2 linked regions of the Caenorhabditis elegans genome follow. The protein of the gene in region 2 interacts with the protein of the main gene of each other region in a pairwise test. Each region holds a gene or a part of one and is shown on either strand. Other genes may lie near its edges.

Region 1 (3,756 bases), on a different chromosome or scaffold from region 2:
ATATAATCATATGACTGAAATAAAATTGGAATTTCGATGTCTTGTTGTAGAAACTTCACGCTAAATTTGAAACAGGGGGAAAACAAATCTGTTGACCGAAGAGATGAGTGGAACACAAATCTATTCAATAAATAAACCTACACTGGTTAAAGATGAAAAATTAAAAGTTCGAGTTATAGATCGAAATAAAAGGTGATTTCTGGTATTTCTCACTTCCCGGGCGTAAAAGGTCATAAAAGACCTTTGCCCTTCTCAACCTAGTGCGAATTGTTCTCTTGACGGCGGCAATAAACGGCAGGTAGTTTTGCATTTAAAATGAAACGAGGCACGATTTTTGTCGTTAACATAAGACCAAGATTTCAGTTCTATCAATAATAAAATCTAGTGTAAGGAATAAAAGTGAGGGAAATGACGGCGATTGGGAAAAGACTAACTAGTTCCATGCGATTACTGTTCGACATGGTAGAAGGCGTCGGCTTTTAAATGTATATACGATTTGATATTCGTATGGTGAAACCTAGAGGAATAGAAGGGAGAGACATGGTCATCGGCGGGAAAAGAGAAAGAATAGGGAAAACACGTCATGAAGTGTATATGATAAGACATTTGGGACGATTGGAGCAATATCAGAAACTTTATATGGACGTTAGTCATTTGGAATGTGACTTGTGAACGATAGTTTGAAATGTTGGTGTTGAATCACCTATTCTATAAACATTTTGAATATTTTTGGACAGCTAGCGCATGAATTGTGAAAAAAAAACAAAAACGCGTTGTTATAGAACTTGAAGCAAAACTAAATTGTACAATTATTAATAATTTTTAGTGTGAAATTGAGAATAAATCTGTCATGCGGAGGCAAAACAAAACGAGAGGCAGCTTATCTCACAAAAAACGTTTTCTATTCTTTCTCCGAAATTTGACACTGAATTCAGTTCATAAAAATCCTATTGACAATTAACGAACAAAATTATTTTTAGGGAAACATGGAAGAAACAATTGAAGAATAAAATAAATTATAGAATAGAGTGTTTCAAAGAGAACAGAGATCTTGTTTCACAGAACCATGCTATCGAAAATGAAAAAAAAATCGTAAAAGATCCAGAATACTGGCTTAGCAGCAAAGAAAAAGCCTTCACTTTTCGCGGCGATTTGTGGCGTCAAATCTGATGTCGGCTGTGCGGCTCGTCTCGACGCACAAATGCACACTTGTGTTTGCCGCCGTCTCTTCTTTTCGAATTTCGATTTTTCTCTCTTTTATCGTATTTATTTTTCTTTATTTTCTTCGTTAAATCAAACGTTTTTTTGTTTTAAAATTTGCTAAATGGTTCTCGCGGCTTAAATATGCATTATCAGTCGGAAAATCTCCAAGATGTTTCAGAGAATTGCTCCGATAGATAAATTTCGAAATTGTTCCTCTTTTTGAAAACTTAATTTTCGGTTCGGGAATTTTAAGAGAGTTTAGAGCATTCTAGTCTTTCTGTAAGATATCAAGTCAAATTTTGCTCGAGTGGCCTATTTGTAAGTAAAGAAGCAAATAAGGTGCGATCACAAAACTTTTTACTCATCTGTGCATAAGTTTTCGATCATTGTTGTAACATAGTTTTTCAATTCGATGTCAAATCAAGTATTACATTGGCGAGACAGTTCAGTAAATAATCTTTTATCTCTTTCAACAATAAAAATGGGCCACTCAGCGAGCAGATTATTTTAGTTACAATTAATTTTCGACTTGTTAGCAATCAAAATGGAAATAAAATTTCAATTGTTTTTTAAAGAAGCCCGTTGTTATATGAAAACATTTGCTTATCGTCTAATTGATTCTAGTTCAACTCATTCAGAAAGCTTAATCCAAGATCCGTGTTCCATCAGCCAACATGAACAGAAATCGTCGAGACGGACCACAGCGTGATGTTAAGCGAGAGCGTCGGAGCCGATCCAGAAGTCCAAGAAGAAGTATAGTTTTTGATATTCTTCATTCCCGTTTCCACCATTTTTTCCATAGAAATCCTTCTCTATTTTCCATTTCCTTAAGGTCGTATCGGCGCTGCTGTTGGAAGTAACAATGGGAACTCATCATCGAACAACCGAATGGTTTTTATCACCAATATCGCCTATGAGGCTCGTTGGGTCGATTTGAAAAGTCTAGTTCGCGAGAAAGGAGGTGAAGTCGCTTTCTGCGAGTTGCTCGAAGACCGTAACGGCAAGCCAAAGGGTAACGCTGTGGTTGAGTTCGAAACTCGTGAGGGTGCCGAAAAATGCGTTGAGAATCTACAAAAGTTCGACTGGAAGGGAAGAACCATCATCGCCAAAGAAATTCGGGTCCGTATCTATTTAATTTTGACACTCACATTCAGAAATTTTCATCCATTTTTTATTTTTTCTGTAGGATCCGAATGCTTTCTTCCGAACCATCAAAACTGAAACAGGCATTGATTACTTGTCTCGTACCGGAGGTGGTGGTGCAGGAGGACGAGGTCCTCCACCAAAAGATCTTGATCGCCCTACTCGAACTGGAACTTATGATTTATTCGGTCTCAATATGGAATTCCTTCGCCAACACAACATTGAACCGCCACTCTGTGAGCGCATCTTCATCGCCAATGTAGGTTTCAAATATTCTTCTTCTCGAAGGGCTCCACATCTAGACCACGTTCACTTGCTGGGTCTTTATCTCAGTTTTGAGATATGAAATTATTCGAATGGGAGAAATAAATGCAATTTTTCATTTTGGTGTTTTTAAACGGAATAGTAGTAGGAAGCTTTCTACGTGGAATTATATACAACAAAATGGAATCAGTGCTTATTATAGTTTGTTCAGACAGTTGCATCCTCCGGGTAGATCTCTCAGTATCATACGAATAAAATATAGCATCACTAATTCAGTTACTAAATACCATTCTTAGTTCCCAATCAGAGGTGGTTGGCAATTATTTTCGGAAATGCTACAAAATGACCTATTGCGACATGTTTTTTTCAAAAGTTTTCATCAAAAATTAGTCTGAAAATGTAGATAATCACTTGATTTATCTGAAAATTAAAAAAAAATTATCTCGTTTTAAACATTTGGAAAAGTGCGCGAAAATGACCAAAAGTTGCCATTTGCCGAGAAACGATAATTCAACAATTTGATGATCGGCAATTTGCAACATCCTGGTATTTTTGAAGCGCTTTTCCAAGTGTTTTATCTGAAATAAGTGTTATTTTCAGATTTAAAAAAGTGATTTTCTATATTTAACATGGCGAAATATGTCATTTTATAGAATTTCCGAAATTCCACTTCTGTTTCCAAGACAATATTATTAATCAAACATTTTCAGTTGGCTTTCAATGTCGGAACCGATAAGCTTTACGAAGTCTTCGGTATGGCCGGTAAAATCACCTGGATGGACTTCCGCATTGATAAAGAAGGAAAGTCAAAGGTTTGTTAATATTTATAGTTCCTATAAAATATAAATGGTGTCTTCCAGGGAGTATGCGTAATTCAATACACTCACCCAATTGAAGCCGTACAAGCCGTTTCGATGCTCAATGGTCAGCGACTTTTTGATCGAAATCTGGTTGTGAAAATGGATAGATTCGATAAGGAACTGGAGCACAAAGAAGGTGGACTTCCACGAGGTCTTGAGTCAATCGGAATGGGTCTTGGAGCAGAAGGAGCACCACTTTCCAATGTTCATGGAATGTTCCCAGGAGATGCTTCAGTGCCGGTAAGCGATTTAAAACAAATTTCATCGGTGTGGTATATACTAGCAT
Region 2 (3,577 bases):
GAAAATTGGAAATTTAAACTTATCAATGGTAAGATGCATTAAAATAGCTTTGATATTTTATGGAAAGAAATACCAAAAATTAATCTAAAAACTTTATATTCCGAATAACTATCAATTTAATTAAATTAGGTGAAATAATTTAGGTCAGAGATACCTTGTCCCGTCTCCGGAAGAAAGATGAACGAGCTGGAAAGTATGTGCCCCCGCCACCCAAGCAAATGTATGAGTTCACAAGTGAACAACGGGGTGCTCTGGATCAAGCGTTTCTCGTTACACCTCAAATGGATTCAGATGGTGCAAGGGAGTTATCAGAAATTACTGGCTTAACTGTGAAGCAGGTAATAGAACATAAGGACGGTCTCAGAATATTGTCGACCAGAAAAAATCACAAGAAAAAAAAACCAAAACAATTAAATTATAGCTCATTCCAAGTTTTTTTAAAGCAAAAAACAATGGCAGAGTTTCATAGTTCGTAATTTTTTCTTACATATATTTTTACCAACTTCCCATAAAATTATTATAAATGTTGGTATAAGTAACTGATCAACATATTTCCATAGATCATACCTGTAGGCATATTTTTGGAAAAAATTAAACCGTTTTAAATTTTGAGTATGACCGAGTTTCCATTTTTGAAGCCACTTTGCAAAAGCCTACCTGGTGATTTATAGGTCGGACCAAAATTTTTTCAAGACAAAAATTTATAAAATAATTGAATTCAGATCAACAACTGGTTTTGCAATCAACGCCGTAAAGCTGATGGACGAAGTGCGGAGAAAGACAAGAAACGAAGGGAGCGGATTCGAGAAGACATGAAAAAGAACGGCTTAGGGGTGAGAGTTCCAAAGTTTGGTAAATAATCGAAACTTTGTTTTAGAGAGTCGGAACTTTTCGATCTGAAGCTGTGGAACTTTTTGAGAAGGAGTACGAGACTATGTTGCAACTAGAGGCGATTGGTGGAGGAAAAGTTCGAATTCCATATACGGAATTAGTGGAGAAAACTGGAATGGAGAGGAAGAAGGTAAGGAGACTTTTTGCAAAGCTTTTGGCGCCAGTTGAACAATTTTATTGTTTAAAGATTCGTGATTGGTTCTCGAAGCGAAAAGGAAGAGACAAGCGGTTCTTGGAGAATATGGAGAATACTCGTGAAGTTTCTCCGCAAAATACGCAGCAAAATATTCAAGATATTTTGATTAAAATTGTGACTCAAAGTGGGACGCTTTGTTCAACGGACTGTTAATAATTCGAAATGCTTTTCTTTTAATAAAGTAGTTCTTTGTAGTTTCTAGTGTTTTCTGATAATTTGGACAGAGATGAATCTATAATTAGGTTGTTCATGTAGTTTCGTGATATGAGCTCTTAGAATTTAAAAAAATATTGAGATTACTGTAGCATCTCTTCGCAAAAAAACATAAAACTAATCTATGAATGTCTTCGGACAAATTTTTGGTTTCCCTGCACAGTTCAGAATTTGAAATTACATAAACTTCACAGGGCACCAGTATTTAACAACCACTATGATCGAGATCGTGGCGAGACCTATTCAGGAAATCAGCGTGTACCTTTAAACTGACGTGTGAAATTTTTGCAAAATTATGATATTTAAAAAGGAAATTATCCAAAGCAATCCAATAAATATATTCCTATGGAAATACTGCGAATATTTATCATAGTATTTTTTGGATTCTCTTTCTGCATATCCAAACAAAACATTCTGTGAACAATTTTAGTTTGAATACAAAAATATGATGGATCCATTTTAATCCTATAAAGTGCATATTTCAAGGCTTTTTATGTTTCTGACAAGCCTGAAAGTTTCTACAGAAAATGAAATTTAGAAGAGGAAAGTGCGCTCCAGCGTCATGCACCAGAGATGAGAGACGCGGGACAACGAGACGGATTTTGTTTGTTCGGTTTCTTTTTACGAGACTGATTGTACTTTTTTCTCTTGATTGTCTCACTTTTGTTAAATTATATCAGTTAATGGATATCAATGTGCGTGCGATGTTTTACTTTTGATTTTTGCGAAATTTTATAAATTTCCCTCACAAAATATTGGTTCTTTTCAGAAAAATGCCACTGTCCAAGAGACGAGCGGCAGGTAGAATCAATGGACTGAAAGGCCCACCCGCAAAAAAAAGAAAGGAAATTGAACGACATGAAGCTCTTCTCATGCATCCGTTAGCGTTAGTTTTATTTAGATATTTTTGCGAAAAATTGAACGAATTTACAGGTATACTGCAGAACAGTACGAACAAGTTGCAGAGGAGTCGAAGTTCTACAAAAATTGCTTCGAAACTACTGCCGCCGAGAACGTTGAACTTCTAAAATCCAACGATCAACTCAAAAAAGAGCTGGAATTGTTGAAAAACCAACAAGGAAATCAGTTGAAGGTCGATATGAAGTTCAAATCCCAAATCGAGAGCACCAGGCAATCAAATATGACGTTGCTTCGTGAAAGAGAAATTTGGCAAAATCGGTATTATGATGTTCTCGCTGAGAAGCTTGCGCTAAGTGCACGAGTGAAAAGTATGATGGGCGACATAGTAGAATCCGTAGAAGTGCCTAATGATTCAAATGGTAACACGTGGGAACTGCGAGAAGATTTGGAAATTGATAGAAGTGCTCGTAGAAAAACGGAAGAAGAACCGAAAGCTCAAAAAATGAATTCAACTCGTGGATCTCTGCCGAGAAATCAATGCTCCACACGCTCGAACAACCAAACACCCAATGAGATGCTCCTGAAAATGGCGATAGGATTGGATACGACGTCGGTTAATTAAGGTAATTTTGTATTTTACAAGAACGATTGAAAATTTTTATTGTTTTTTTTTCAGAATTCCTCAATCGACACTCAACACATTCCATCTCAACTTTATGAATCTCAGCACTCAAAAATCTGCTTCGTTTAATTTCTGTTTTGAGCGTTTTTGAAACGTTACTGCATTTATTTTATTAGAATAAACCAATAAATAGACAAAGTATTTTCGAAAAGCTTTTTTTTTTTTTGTAATTGTTGACATTTTCAAAATAATATTATTTAATCCAAATATCTCAACGATTATTAATTTTTTTAAATTCCTGTTAAGACTTTCCATCATAGTTTTTTTTTTCCAGAAGCATGCCACCCCCTAATAAAAGACAAAAACATGCAAGAATCTGTGGATTTATGGGTACACTTGCTAGAAAAAAGAAAGAAATCGAACAACAGGAAGCTCTGATGAAACTGCACAATCTTCCATTGACGTTAGTTTTACACGGAAGCAATTCAGAACAATATAAATTATTTACAGATACACTGAAGACCAGTACAAGATCGTTAAAGAGGAGTCGACGATCTACAAAAACCGATTTGAAACAGCTGCTGCTAAAAATGTCGAGCTTTTAAAAGCCACTGATGAACTCAAAAAAGAGCTGGAATTTTTAAAGAGACAACCAGGAAACCAGTTTAAAGTTGATAAAAAGTTGAAATCCGAAATTGACAGCGCTGAAGAGGAGTCGAAGTTCTACAAAAATTGTTTCGAGACTACTGCTGCTGAAAATGTTGAACTTTTAAAAGTCACCGACCAACTCAAGA

Evidence for each region. Proteins that work in one complex are often made in the same cells at the same time.
Region 1: the proteins of C49C3.6 (region 2) and sup-46 interact in a two-hybrid assay, tested with the Caenorhabditis elegans proteins (one large-scale study listed by BioGRID).

Annotation. Positions count from the first base shown.
Region 1 is NC_003279.8:10,170,689-10,174,444, reverse strand, and holds the start of sup-46 (RRM domain-containing protein), read left to right. Parts: upstream 1-1,841; 5' UTR 1,842-1,877; coding exon 1,878-1,956; intron 1,957-2,035; coding exon 2,036-2,322; intron 2,323-2,389; coding exon 2,390-2,605; intron 2,606-3,320; coding exon 3,321-3,422; intron 3,423-3,470; coding exon 3,471-3,710; intron 3,711-3,756.
Region 2 is NC_003282.8:17,329,458-17,333,034, forward strand, and holds C49C3.6 (uncharacterized protein), read left to right. Parts: upstream 1-2,069; 5' UTR 2,070-2,073; coding exon 2,074-2,186; intron 2,187-2,233; coding exon 2,234-2,783; 3' UTR 2,784-2,784; intron 2,785-2,837; 3' UTR 2,838-2,990; downstream 2,991-3,577. Other genes in the region: ceh-88 (Homeobox domain-containing protein), read left to right, coding at 144-338, 723-833, 878-1,021, 1,079-1,240; C49C3.7 (Coiled-coil domain-containing protein 176), read left to right, coding at 3,122-3,246, 3,294-3,577.